Linked DNA regions of Diceros bicornis minor. The protein of the gene in region 2 purifies or fractionates together with the protein of the main gene of each other region. This does not show direct contact. Links are inferred from orthologs where the notes say so. Each region holds a gene or a part of one and is shown on either strand. Other genes may lie near its edges.

Region 1 (7,322 bases), on a different chromosome or scaffold from region 2:
TCGTTGACTTTGGTTATCCTAGTGGGGGAGAGAGAACAGGACTCCCTTTTCTTGGTATGCTCCTATATCATTTGATTTGCTCTAGCTAACATTTTGTTATTTATAATAAAATAAATCCAATAAAGCTTAGGTTAAAGGGAAAAAAGCTGCAAGTGATGTGACTGGGTGCCACTTTCCACTGTACGAGGATGGACTAGTGACTGTGATTGTTATAATTTTTTGATCACCGTCTATGGGGCCGGGCACTGTGCTAAGAACTTTCTCTGTGTTATCACCCTGGGAGGTCAATGCACAGGAAGAAATGGGGGTCACAGGGCTTAAATGACCTGCTCAAGGCTGCACAGCTCTACAGCTCTGTGCACGACAGAGCAGGGATTGGAACCCAGGTGTGTCTTACTCTGAAGCAACAGTCTTAACTCCTGCAAAATGCTCCCACCCTGCAGCTGTGGTGGTTTCCTGTGGTCTCTCGAATAGGTGGTTCCTCCTCTGGTCATATTTTTGCTTCCATTTTCTCTCTGCCATTACATTTGGTAACCATGAAAGGGAACTAACCTGTCATTCTCAGAATAAGACCTGAGACTTGTGCAGAGTGGAACGTCTATTTCCTGCCGGGGCAGCAGGCATTCTCACAAATGGAGAAACTAAGTCAGGAGGATGCTTCTGATGAGGTCCCCACATACGGAACTGTACTCAGAAGTCCCAGTGCCTGGTACCTTGCTGCTTCCTAGTAGTCAGTTGATGGTTTTTGTTTTCTTTTCTTTTCATCTTATCTCCTGAGGCTTTCCATCAACTCCCATTGCTTTCTCTATTGAGTAAGAACTCTGCAGATCTTTATCAGTCCTCTCAACTGTGCAGAATCAACCAAGTCTTCTTGCTAGAAATGACTTGAAGGATCACCCCGGCTGCCCTGTTCACACATGAGGAAACTGAGGCCCGGAGAGGTTGAGGGGCTTGTCTGAGCTAACAGGGCTGCTCAGTGGCACATCTGAGACTAGAACCCAGTTCCCCTGGGTTCTCCTTCTGTCCTCATGTTGCCAGGGCAATTGCACACTGCACTTTTGGCCTTTTCCCTTCCACTCTGGGGCCTTGGCTTTGACAGCCAAGGTAATCCCCTCAGATGAGGTTTTTTCTTTTGTCTTGTGTTGTTTATTTGCTTTTTAATTTCCTTTTATGGTGCCATTTGATTATTCTGTTTTCAATTTTATTTATTTATTGATTTGTGTTGTTTATAACACTGCATTGAGCAGGTAATATACATATTCAGAAAAAAGAAAGAAAGAAAACGCAAACAGTACAGTGAAAAGTACTCTCCTCACCCTCTTCCCACCCTGACTCCCATCCCTAGAGGCAACTGATATTACTAGAGTCTCGGGTAACCTTCCAGAGATACTCAATTAATAAGCTATTTTTGAGATTATTTTATATGAGACACATAGTGATAACTCATTATTTTTAATGGCTACACGGAATTAAATTACGTTGTTAACTACTCCCCAAATGATGGACATGTAGGTTGTTTCCAGTTTTTGCCCAGCAAATAGTACTATAATTCATGTCCTTGTGCTACAGGTCTTTATACATCTGCACAAGTATCTCTGTAGGATAAAATTCTAGAACTAGAATTGCTGGGTCAAAGGGTACATGCATTATAAATTTCGATGTCTCCAAATTGACACCGAAAGCTGTGGTGCTAATTTATATTCCCACTGACAGTATATCAGAGTTCTGCTTCCCTCCATATTTGCCTAAGCTTTTAAAATATTGCCAATACTTATTATGGTTTTAGTTTGTTTTTCTTATAATGAATGTCTTAGTCTGCTTGGGCTGCCATAACAAATTACCAGGGACTGGGTGGCTTAAATGACAGAAATTTATTTCTCACAATTCTGGAGGCTGGGAAGTCCAACATCAAGGTGCCCGTTTAGTTCCTGGTAAGAGCCCTCTTTGTGGTCATGACTTTGTACAGCAGAAAGACAGAGACACAGAGAGAGAGAGAGACAGAGAGAGGGGAGAGGAGGGGAGGGGAGGGGAGTGAGGAAGAGAAAGCATTCTCTCTCAAGTCTTGTCTTACAAGGGCACTAATCTCATCATGAGGGCTCCACCCTTGTGACCTAACCGTCTGCCAAAGGCTCCATCTCTGAATACCATCACACTAGGGATTAGGGGTTCCACGTATGAATTTGAGGCGGACACAAACATTCAGTCCATAGCAACGAGTGAGGTTGAGCATCTTTTTATATACTTAAAAGCCATGTCTTTCCTATTCTCTAAACTGTCCATATCCTTAGCTCATTTTTCTATTGGGTTGCTCTGGGAGACTTACTAACAAGTTAAACCTAAACTTACTGAAGAATGAGAATTTGGTGACCAGGTGTGTAGGATGAAGGCCCCTTGGGATATAATGGACCATCCCACCGACTGATTGCTCAGGCCCAAGTAACACCATGCATGTTGATAAAGCACTTTGTATATACATTCATTATAACATAGTGTCAGCGGGTTATAACCTAGTGTCAGCCTTGATAATAATATATGTAACACGCTGCTCATGGGTTTCACTTTAGCAGTTATTTGTGTAAGTTCTAAAGCTCAATTCACACGTCTAAGACTTCTCTCCTTTTATTACACTCCATCTTTCCCCTGTTTCTACTCTTCCTCTCTTTTAGTCCAATCCACCTGAAACAGCTGACTCTTCCAAGTTGGTGGCTTGTTGGCGAAGAAGTTGTTCTCTCCTTCCCACCTTTGCCGGAAGCAAAGCCTTGAGGGCTGGGAGACAGCCTCCTCTTACTGGCACACCTCTGGACTCCCAGGCCATATGCTCTCAGAAAATGTTGGTCATTGAATGAATGTAGCCAAGAGGGAGGGTCTGCTCCCAACACAGCCCTAGCACAGCGCCTGGCAGTTATAACATATTCCGGCACGTGGCAAGAGGTAAGGAAACACTGACGCAATGAGTGAATGAATGTCTGCACACAGTGCCTAGGAGTAAGGCCTCAAAAGGCTTTCCTGTATTCAGCGCATAGTGCCTGGTACACAGTAAGCGCTCACTAAGTGGCAGCCCCGAATATCCCTGGACGAGTCTTATAAAACCTAGCGCAAGAGCTTGGCTTGACTGTGCCTGGGTACGGGGGTTCGAATCCCGCCCCCTCCAGTTCCCAGCTGTGCGACCTCGGGCAAGTGACTTAATCTCTTTGTGCTTCAGTTTTCTCAGCCGCAGAACGCCGACGGCGGAGTGCGACCTCGACGCGACACTCCCGGGAGCCCCTGGACCTGCTGCCCGGCCCACTGCGAGCCCCCGCCACGCCAGCTGGCCTGGGCGGTCGGGGGCACTCGCGGGGGGCCCGAGCCCTCGGCCGTGGCCGCCACGGGCGTTCCCGGGGCTCGCGGTCGCGCCTCGTCGGGATCCGTGCACCCGAGGGGGCGGGGCGCGGCGCCCACGCGGGACAGCGCACGGCAGCCCCGGCCGGCCGGCCGGCCGCCGCCCGCACTTCTTTCTCTGCCTCTCCGCCTCCCTCCCTCTCCCGGCCCGAGAAGCCGGCCGCGCTCGGCTCAGCAGCGCCGCCCGCGAGCCGCCGCCGCCGCAGCCGCTCCCGGCCCCTCCCCCGCCCGCCCTCCGCCCCCCCGCGCGGCCGGCGCCCGTCACGTGACGCGGCGCCAGCCAATGGCGGGCCGAGCCGCGGTCGGCGGCCGCCATTGCTGTCAGAGCGAGCGAGCCCGGGGAGGGAGGAGAAGCGAGGCTGACTGGGGAGGAGGGGGGGGTGGGGGAGGAAGAGGAAGGAGGGGACGTCGCTCGGCTGCCGGGGTCGCCCGCTGGCTTCGTCCGCACCCCCCCCTTCGCGAGTTCGCGCTCCGCGGCGGCGGCGGCTCCGAGGCGGCGGCGGTGGCTCCGGGGCTCGCCTCCCCTCACGCGCCGGCGGGGGCAGAGGGGGAGTCGGTGGCTGGAGATAAACAAGGCGGCGGCGGCGGCGGCGGCGGAGGAACAGGGAAGGCGGAGGCGGCGGCCGGCCCGCAGCGCCAGCCCGGGAGGCAGCGGCGGCCCTGAGAGGCGGGGAGGGCGCCGGGCCGCGCGGACAGCGCCCCCCGCCGCCGCCGGAGCCGCGGCAGCCGCCGCCGCCGCCGCCGCCCGAGCAGGAAGGAGCCGCGCGGCCGCCGCGGACCCCCCCGCCGGCCCGGGCCCGCCGCCCCCGGCGCGGCGTCGCCGCGGCGCCTCCCGCCCGCCCGCCGGCCCTCGCGCCCTCCCCCGGCGGCGGCGGCGGCGGCGGCGGCGGCGGCGGCGGCGGCGGCGGCGGCCCGGCCGCCCGCGCTCCCCGGCGAGGCGCCGCCGCCCGGCCCGGCCTCGCCTCGGACGCCTCGCTCCGACATGCCCCGCTCTGGCGGCCGGGCTCGCGGAGGATCATGACTGCGGCAGCGAACTGGGTGGCGAACGGGGCGAGCCTGGAGGATTGTCACTCCAACCTCTTCTCGCTGGTGAGTAGCCGGGCGGCGGGGAGGGGGCCGGGCCGGGGGGGGGTCCCCGACCTCCGCCGCCGACCAACTTTCTCCTCCCGCCGCCGGGACGTGCCCCTCCCTCGCCTCTCCCCGCCGCTCGCCTCTCGCCGCGTCTCCCCCTTTTGGATCGTCGCTCCTCGCCTTGGCTCCCCTCCAGTGTTTATTTGGCTCTTTAAAAATCATTTGTGAGCGCGGCGCTCGGCGTGGAATTTGCATGTGGAAGTCTCAGAGCTGCGGATTCTGGGTCGCACTTCGAACGCCCACCCTCTGTTGCCATCACACCCCCTTCCTCTCCCCTCTTCCCCCCTTTTTTCCCCTAAATGTGGAAGGCTTTGCCTTGTGCTGCCCGTGCCTGCGATCGGCAGCCTTTTCCCCCCTTGTCGGGTCGACTGCCCGCTCGCCCGCCCGGCTTTTGAATTTTTTTAAAATTCCATAATGACACCTGCAATTTCGCCCGAAAACAGTTGATCGAATGCGATGGTGTCAGTAAAGGACTCTGGCACCCGGAGCTCCCGCGATTGTAAACACCGACAGCCGCCCGCCTCTCGGGGCTTACTACGCTGGAGAGCCGGAAAGCCATTGCACCGAGCCGACGGAAGGTGGAGAAAGCTTTTTCTTCTCTCTCTCTCCTCCTGTGTCTTTTAAAAACTGTTTTCTCTATCCTAACAACGAATCCACACACACAAAAAAGCAACAAGCTGGGCGGCTGGATAACATCGCTTTTATCTGCCTTCGCCTCTCTCGCGCGCTCTCGCTGGTAATTGACAACTTTTCCTTGGGATTTGAATCGCCTGCCTTAATCTTGAAGCAGTTAGGGTGTCAATTGTTCTCCTGGAAGCCTGGCACCCGACGACGGCGTCTAGATTCATGGAAATTAAAAATGTATAGGGCTCCAGCAACTCTTTCCTGGCGGTCGCAGTGACATTTGGTGGTAAATGCCATCTCTGCTTTTTATTGGGTCGTATTACCTAGCTCTGAAAACATTCATGTTGTTAAACCTGGCGTTTAGGCTAATAATTGCAGTACGTGGTCTTTAAATATGTGCTTTGTGCAGGAGTTACTGTATGTATAGCTATGTGCCCGGGAGACTACGAATTTGTTTAAATATTGAGCAAAGATTTGTAAACAGATGTAAGGCAATTATGTTTCAAGCGTAGAATATAATTGGAAAATTGGCTGAACGGTTTGTTTAATTTAGCCTTAAAAAAACCAACTTATTTTAAGTTGTGTACCTTTTTTGGGGGAACTGACTTTTGGAGCGCATGCATTTTGGAAATTGTTTTCTGTAACCTCTGCTGCAGATGGGAGCATTATTTCCTCTTAATCCTTGTTTACACTGGATAAATAATTTAGTGTTCAAATTGTAATTAGTTACATTTAATTATGGGTAGCATAGAGGCTTTTTTTCTTTGAGACTAGTGGAGACATACAAATTCTTGCCAACTTTTCAAATAAAAGTGTTATTTTATTCAATATGTTTCATTATGCAGATAAAAAAAATCAAAACATGCGATTTTTACCTACAGTGACCCGAGTGACATAGTATCCATGTTTTTGCTGTGGTAAGATCAGGTCAATTTTATTTTTCTTCCAACATTTTTATTCAGATATTTAATTTTAAAATTCAGTTACAAGTTGCTCTTCTTCCTCTCAGGACTGTGATTATTTTCCCTTGATCTTTTGGTATGTGGGAATAAAACTCATTTTGCATCCTCTTTTCTCCCCCTCATTCTGTCATTTAGTATCAGGTTCAGGGACTTCGTAGATTAGCAAACATATTGATTAAGGGATATTTTAAATGGTTTTTGTTTGGTGGCTGGTGACCACATTGACACTTTAACAGGTAATTAAAATAACCAAGTAGACCAATATTAGTGAGGAGAGATCCCCCAAATTACCATATATCATGCTGACTGGTAATGGCTTGGGTATGTGTGGCTAATTTATATACAGTAGATTTTGTAGACAAATGAAAGTATATTATATGTGTAGCCAGTCTTTAAGATACATCATTTCTTTTATCTTTTATTTTTTTTTTAAGCTTAAGTAAGGGTGATAATGTTATAGAGATAAGATGCTTGAGATTCTTTTGGAGAAACAATTTTGTGGGAGAGGATTCTGTGCTTTATGACCAACTAAAGATTAATGCTTTGGGTATTTTCTCTTAAACCTCTTTAAACCAGGAATTGATTTTTGAATATACTTTTTTTTTTTTTTTTAAACAGAATTACTCTTTAGGTAGCAACTTTGAAATGCAGAACTGCAGAAATGCATGCTTTGATTTTTTTTTTTTTTAAAGGACTAGAGAAAGTCTACATTCTCTTGTATGCAGAGGGTGGATAAGGTGCTATTTTTTTAAAATTACAAATCAGTTAAAAAGGTGCTGATATTGTAAATTTTTCTCATTCAAATTTGAGATTTTTTTGGAAAATTAGATATAGCAGCAAGAACATTAAAAATATGTTGCTTAAAGTACATTGTATAGTATAGTTAATTCCAAAGGAGATAAAATCATCACCTGTTTAAAATAAAGCATGTATTATAAGAACTCTGTGTGCTTAATAATAGCATATATGTGCTTTTTTGGCCTGCAGTATTTTTGAGCAGAGAAAAGTATTGTTTATATAGAATTTACCTAGATACTCATGTTAATGTAGATTGAAATATAAACTAGAGATGAAAGTTCTGTACCACATTAATGACCCACCCACTTTCTATTACCTTTAGGTGTTCGTTCTAGTTTAGCAAAAGTTGATTGTGCAATCAGCTGCCTTAAGATTTTTGTTAGTCTTTTACTTACTTTGCTTTCTGATTGTCTGCTGCATGGCATCAAA
Region 2 (7,149 bases):
GGAACTTGAGAGGAAAGAAAAAGCCATTGTGACTTTTATAAAATGAACGAACCTGGGAAATGAAAAAAAAAAAAAGTGTACTGGGGAAACACTTTGTTACATAGTTGGCTATAAAATACAAAGCAGCAAAGAATAGAGTTTAGTTACATAGATTCAAGAGAGTAAAAATTGTCTTTACATATTTGAGGGAAACTAAATCACAATAAAACCCAAAACCACTATGAGGGATTCCAGCAATAATTTAATAGTTGAAAGCATGACATTATTTTGGATGGTAAAAAAATAAAAAAATAGTCTTCACTACACCTGGTGGTGTAGTGGTTTAAGTTTGTGTGCTCTGCTTTTGCAGCTTGGGGTTCACAGGTTCGGATCCTGGGTGTGAACCTACACACCACTTATCAAACCATGCTGTGGCAGTGTCCCATATAAAGTAGAGGAAGATGGGCACGGATGTTAGCCCAAGGCCAATCTTCCTCAGGAAAAAAAAAAAAGGATTGGCAACAGATGTTAGCTCAGGGCTAATGTTCCTCAAAAAAAAAATAAAAAATAGTCTTATAGTCTTACTTTTAAGAAGTTTATAATCAAATTCATAAAAGATAATTAGGTAAACTATCATTATTCTTACTTTGGAAAGAACTTGTCCCAAATATAACTCATTTGGTAGCATTACCTTACCTGAAATATATTGTTCAAATGTGTACTCTAAAAAGATATCGGAAAATGGGGCATCTCAGAGATTAGGCATGAAAAAGATAATAACACACTTCACAAAAGAGGAAACCCAAATGGCTAGCTGATACATGAAAAGGTCCTCAATAGCATCAGTAATCAAGGAAATGCAACTTAAAACCACAATGATATACTACTACATACCCACCAGACAGGCAAAACTGAAGACTGATAATACCAAGTGTGGTTGAGGGTGTGGTACAACAGGATTCATACATGGTCAGTGTGAGCATAACACTTTAGAAAACAGCATGGTGTTATTTACTCAAGTTTATGACACACATAACCACTCCCAGGTATATACCATACAGAACTATAGATGTGATGGAAAAAATCTATGAAGGATGTTCACAGCAGCGTTTATAACAGCCCCAAATTGGAAACAACCTAGATGTCCATTAACAATAGAATGGTTAAATAAATTATGGCATATTGCTACAATGGAACATTTGTAATATGCAGCAATTAAAATGAACAGATTACAGCTATATGAACCCAAACAACGTACAGGTTAAAAACGATGTTGTGCAAAAGCAGTAAGCACAACAGATTACAAATTATGTTGTTCCATTTAATAAAGTTCAAAATAAAGGGCAAAACTAAACAATATATTGTTTAGGGATGCATGCTTGTGACAAAACAATAGAGAAAAACAAGGAAATGATTATCACAAAAGTTAGAATAATGGTCACCTCTAAAAGGGAGGGAAAGACTTGTGTTCAGGAAGGTCACTGGGGGGCTTCCGGGGTGCTGGCAATGTTCTATTTCTTGACCTGGTGAGTCACACTGAGGTTTCTTTTATAATTACTCATTATACTGAATAACTGCTTTATGCATTTTAATGTATATTTCACAATAAAAATGCTAAAAGTAATTGAATACTGTAGACAGCATTTCTAGAAAGAAATTTTGCCAGATAATTTAGCTTATGAAATCTTTGACAGTAAAAACCACTGATGTGGGATAATAAAACATTAAACAGTTTCTCATAAGAGCTCACTTTCAAGCGTAGGAGAAAAGAACCCTACGCAAATATCCCTTTGTTATATTTTAACAGAGTATGCAAATCTTTATCACAAACAAATTGATGAACCGGGGAAAGAACTCTGTTACCTCAAACTTCAGATTTTTTTGGAATTTTGAATGAACCGTTTTCTCCCCTGGATTAATAAGAAATGAAAGAACTAAAGAGATGTAGACCACCATGGAAATGTATGAACTTCCTCCTCTCCAGTCACCAGTTCCAGCTGTTTCCTCCAGTTATCATGCTGGGTGGTGAGGTGGGTGGATCTTGCCCAGTAAGCTCAGTGCAGCTGTTACTTTGTAAGTAGGTGGCTGAGGGCTCTCCTGAGTGCCATTCTGTCTCTCAGCACTAAGGTTCTAAGGTGGAGCCACTGACAACGAAAACAGATCAGGCTGCTGAAAAACCCCACGTGGTACCCACCTTTCTGGAGGCATCCTCTGCTGGTTTGCCGTGCTCTGATGTTTGCACTCTTTTTATCCAAAGCCCATAGAATTTAAAATCTGAGGTGCTCAGGCTTCACAAAATCCGCTATATCTGTGCGTTTTACTCTGTCAATTTCCACCAGGAAATTAGCAAGAGGGGCAAAACCAAAAAAGATCTATTTTGTAGCCATGTTGGGCCATCACTTAGTGGTCTGATTCCCTATGAATCTCATTTGGAAGGACATGGCAGGGGATTGGTCATGAAAAGACAGTTAAATCCAGGGTAGCTTAAGCAGGATAGTTAACCTGGCTCTTGGAACTTCGAATCAAGGGCAGGTGGGCAGGTGCCACTTTGTGAGTCTCTTCTTGCTTCTGCAACATCCCCCTCCACCTTCCCATCACTTTTTCTGTGCACTTTTCTGCACTTTAATAAAAATGAGCCCCTGGATTTCCCCAGTTAGAAGTTTCCTTGGTTTACTGTTTGCATGCGGCGGTGGCAGTTGCGGCAGAAACTCTGAGCTTCCCAAATCTCTCTATAAAAACTTGCTCCTTATTCCCTGAGGCGGAAAGACTTGTAATATCCATTATTGCTGCTTCTAGAGGAGGTAGGGTGTGCCAGGGTCCAGCGACAGAACGGTGGAATCCGCTTCCTTTCATCATTGTTGCTGCTTTCATCTCATTCTCACACTGTTCACCACGACAGGTTCAAGAGAGATTTCTGAGGATTCTGGTTTTTTTACCCTAAAATTTATTTTCCTAGAGAACTACACTTTCAACTTCATGAGTTTTTACTTGAATTTACCTTCCAGGATAACATCTGTAGGAAAAGCTGCACAATAGTAATAATATTTATTTTAGAAAGGAAATAGCCTTTGAGTCAGACCTGAAACACAGGCCAAAATTTCTTGATGACGGTAACGGACACTGATTAACAGCCAAGTCAGCTCTCCAAAGCTTCAAACAACAAGCAAGAACGATTCCTAAAAGTGAGGCCCTACTAAATTCTCCCCCTGAAAAACAGTCGACAATCCTTCCACAATCTCTGGGAGGATGGCTCCCTTCCCTCACCCCGGTAATTCCCCTCCTTTTTCACTCAAGACTCAGGTTGTGACTCCGTACTCAAGCCGCACCCCTATTTCCTTTCATGGGAGGGGGCGGGGGGAAGAAGAGATGTATTACAACTCTAATCTTTACAATGCTATGCAGTTTACAAAGCGCTTGCAACTTCCATCAACTCCTCTGAGCTCCGCGAGCGCCACGTGAGGCATTCATTCATTCATCAAACATTTGCTCCGCTCGACCACACGTTATCGGGCGCTGGGTCTCACCCCACACCACGAGAAGGGTGGAGTGCTCGCTCCCTGGAGCAGGTGCAGAGGGTCAGGCTGTAGGACAACTTCTCGCTCAGTCAGGCTTTTCGAAAGCCCATTTGGGGCCAAATGCCTCACCTTCGGGTGGTGTGCGCCCGAGCATGGCCGCGCGGCCTGGGCCTCCTCCTCGCTCCCAAAGGAGCAGTCACCACCTGCCCTGAAGGAAACCGCTAAGAGCAAGCTCTCTCCGCCGCCCTCGGGTCAGGGGTAAGATCAGGCGGCAGCTTAGGCTCCACTCGGCTCCTCCCCTTCCTCTCTTCAGTTCTGACGCGGCCGTAGAGGCGGCGGCAGCGGCGGCGAGTCCCGCGGCCCCAGTCGCACCCACCCGCTCGCCCAGCCCCGACTTCCTCTTCCCTTTGAGCGTCATCACAGCGCGCCAGAGTCGCCCAAGGCAGGGTGATTGGAAAGAGAAAAAAAGGCCAGCGGAGGAAGCCTCCGAGCGGAAAGACAAGGGAGGGGGGAGGAGAGCGGTTGCTAGGTGACTTGCGTCATCGGTCTGCGCCGCTTTCCTCCCGCCCCTCTCTCTGGAGTGAGGCGAGAGCCCCGCACAGAGCGAGCGAGACAGCGAGCTGAGCTCCGGGCGCTACCGCCGCCGCCGCCGCCGCCGCCGCCGCCGCCAAGAGCGTGAGAGCGAGGGAGCATCCGAGAGACCTAGCCCCCGTGCACTGGCCGCCGCCAAGACCTCCGCCCTAAGCTGGGCCAGCGGGAGCCGCCGCCACCCCGCCTCTCCCCCCCTCACCTTCCCGGCCGGCAGCGGCGGCTGCACACGCCGGAGCCCGAGCCTGAGCCCGAGCCGGCGGCTGGGGGGCAGGGAGGCGGCTACTCGGGCCGGGACTAGTGAGCTGCTCCGCGGTGAGGGGACGCTGAGGAGGGGCCGGAGCTTCTATCTCGTCCCGGGGCGCGGGGCTCGGGACCCCCAAGGTGTAGGGAGGGGGGCCCAGCCGCAGCGACACATGCGGGAGCCGGGAGCGGGGGCGGCGCCGAGCGGAGCCGGCCGGGTCCCCCACCTCGCCGCCGCCTCGGCCACCCTCCCGGGCCCGTAGCATCTCGCCCCGGAGTGTATGAGCCGGGGCCCCAAGCTCAGCAGCCACCCCCCGACCGGGGGGGCGGGGACCCCGATGTGAAGCGGCGGCCGGGGCGGCGGGGAGAGCAGGACCGGCGCCGCCGTCCTTTCCTTCCCTTCCCCCTCCCCTCTGCCCCCTCGGGGGTCTTCTCCCTTGGCCAGTTGCCGGCCCCCCGACTCCTCGGCTGGACTCCGGGAGGAGTTCTTAGAGCCCCCTCCCCCGCCCCAGGGCGGCGGGGCCGGGGGGGACCCGGGGGGCCGGCCGCAGCCTCCGCCCAGAGGAAACTTTTATAAAGATAAAATCCGGAGCCTCCCAAACCTGACTATCCCGGGAGAAGTGACCCAGGACGGGCAGGACACACAGCTTGAAGAGACCCAGGAAGAGGAAAAGGAGGTAAGCGGGGCCGCCGCCGCCTCTGCTCCGGCAGCGCGGAAGAGACCCGAGTGGCCGTCTGCTTTAGCGACACCAGCACCGCTTCTTCCTCACTAACTCGCCGGAGCCTTCCGCAGCTGCCGCCTCGGTGCGAAGGAGGAAGGGAACCAACCCACTTTCCCAGCGCCACGGCTCTTCTGTAAAGTGTGAGTGGCCGGGGAGGGGGAATTGAGGGGTAGCGAGTGGGAGGATGCCGGTGGGACCTCCTGGAGTTTTGCTGATGTTTTCCGGGAGTGTTGGGAGTGTATGGATGAGAGGGTGTACCCTAATACCTCACTGCGGGGAGGAGGTATTAGGTAGTCCTGTGTTCTGGAACCTTTTAGCTCTTTGTACGTGTAATACGCAAGCTTACAGGTTTCTCTTAGCGCTGAGTTCTGTCTTTCTCTAGAGTGGACACTTGCACCTTTCTGCCAGTAATTGGCAAAAGGAAATTGAGGAGGCCAGAACATATGTGCACACAAAGGACATCTCTGTAATATACCTTTTCCTGGTACACCGGTGTGAGTAGCGCTGTAGTTCTTGTTTCTGGGCAAATCTTATTTTGCTTCCCAAGTGGGAACCTCTTTTACCCTGTGCACCCTGAAAGTAAAAGTCTTTTCTTTTTTCTACAGTCTTCCTTGAGAGATTTTCCTATTGGTACAAGAGTTTTTTACCTTCTCGTTTTTGGGGTCCAGTTCCTGTGGGTCAGGAGGATACTGTAACAGATTTTAATCACTCAGGAAATTCTGAGTTCTTAAGAATCACAACTTTTGGGGGAGAGCGTTTAGTACTTTAACTAGTTTATAAAAGTTGTTACATTTTTTCCTTTCCTAAATGCTTTTTTTTTTTTGGAGTAGCATATGTTCTAATTGCTAGCGCTTTTTTATTTGACACGAATGACTTGAGGCTTTGCTTGTTTGTGTTGTCTATACTTCTCTATTAAATGAGGAGAAACTTTTCGTATTTAATTCTTTGAAGAACGATTTTTTTCTTCCCTTATTTTATTTTATTTATTTATTTATTTTTGTGAGGAAGATCAGCCCTGAGCTAACATCCATGCTAATCCTCCTCTTTTTTTTTTTACTGAGGAAGACCGGCTCTGAGCTAACATCTGTTGCCAATCCTCCTCCTTTTTTTCCGCCAAAGCCCCAGTAGATAGTTGTATGTCATAGTTGCACATCCTTCTAGTTGCTGTATGTGGGACGCCGCCTCAGCATGGCCGGAGAAGCGGTGCCTCGGTGTGCGCCCCGGATCTGAACCCCCGGCCGCCAGTAGCGGAGCGACTGCGCTTAACTGCTAAGCCACTGGCTGGCCCTCTTCCCTTATTTTAAAGGTGAAGTCTATAAAATCTTTGATTTGTGTTTTAGATATCTTCTCAGAGTGCCAAATTAAGGTGCAGGAAAGTAGTTAACATTTTGTAAATTTATACAGACCTTAAGCATTAAGTGTAGGGTGGAATTTTATATAAAGAACATAAGCAGTACTATATGAGAATGATGGTTCCTCCAGACAACTGTGTGGGTTCGCTGTTTCTGAAGCCACTGCTGAGAGAAGCTTTGTGGGAATGAATGTAAGCCTGGGGTTATCTATGCTGACTTCTCCAGTCAGGATCTTGATTAAATTTATTTAAAACTTTCTCAAACAGTGTTTTCATCCTGTACTTTTCTCTTTTGAAGTAATGAGTTCTACACCCCCTGAATTATGTAACAATTCATTTATTTATCCCAAACCTCTTTAAAGTTCCAAGACACATCCAGAGTTTGTTTTGAAAAATTCTAGAACAAGCTGGAGTTTATCTTTTCCTGGTTTTATAGATTTTGATTGTTCCTCTTTACCATCATCTTTCCTGACTCTTTTTGTCTGTCTTAGAATAATTTCTTCAATCCCTTTGGTCACTTTGCTCTCCTCTGGAACTTCTCCTGCTGCTTTGTTTTTCTTTAGGTACCTTGTTCTTGTCATGCTTTTGTAAGGAGCCTTAAATTCTGTCTATTTTAAATGGGTACTGACATGAAAATATTAAGCAGTGGATATAATGTTAGATGTGGAATCAAAAACAAATGTCTCTGGATTTGTTGTCTTATTTTGTGACCTTGAGGAAGTCATGTATCCGATGTTTCACGAAGATAGGA

What was found. Proteins that work in one complex are often made in the same cells at the same time.
Region 1: the proteins of FBXW7 (region 2) and MED13L purify together in Homo sapiens (affinity purification with mass spectrometry; 4 studies listed by BioGRID, with this or other methods). This does not show direct contact. The link is inferred for Diceros bicornis minor from reciprocal best matches to the Homo sapiens genes FBXW7 and MED13L.

The regions. Positions count from the first base shown.
Region 1 is NC_080774.1:13,709,126-13,716,447, reverse strand, and holds the start of MED13L (mediator of RNA polymerase II transcription subunit 13-like), read left to right. Parts: upstream 1-4,314; 5' UTR 4,315-4,395; coding exon 4,396-4,467; intron 4,468-7,322. UniProt on the Homo sapiens protein: Component of the Mediator complex, a coactivator involved in the regulated transcription of nearly all RNA polymerase II-dependent genes.
Region 2 is NC_080750.1:40,826,120-40,833,268, reverse strand, and holds the start of FBXW7 (F-box/WD repeat-containing protein 7), read left to right. Parts: upstream 1-4,144; 5' UTR 4,145-5,187; intron 5,188-7,149. UniProt on the Homo sapiens protein: Substrate recognition component of a SCF (SKP1-CUL1-F-box protein) E3 ubiquitin-protein ligase complex which mediates the ubiquitination and subsequent proteasomal degradation of target proteins.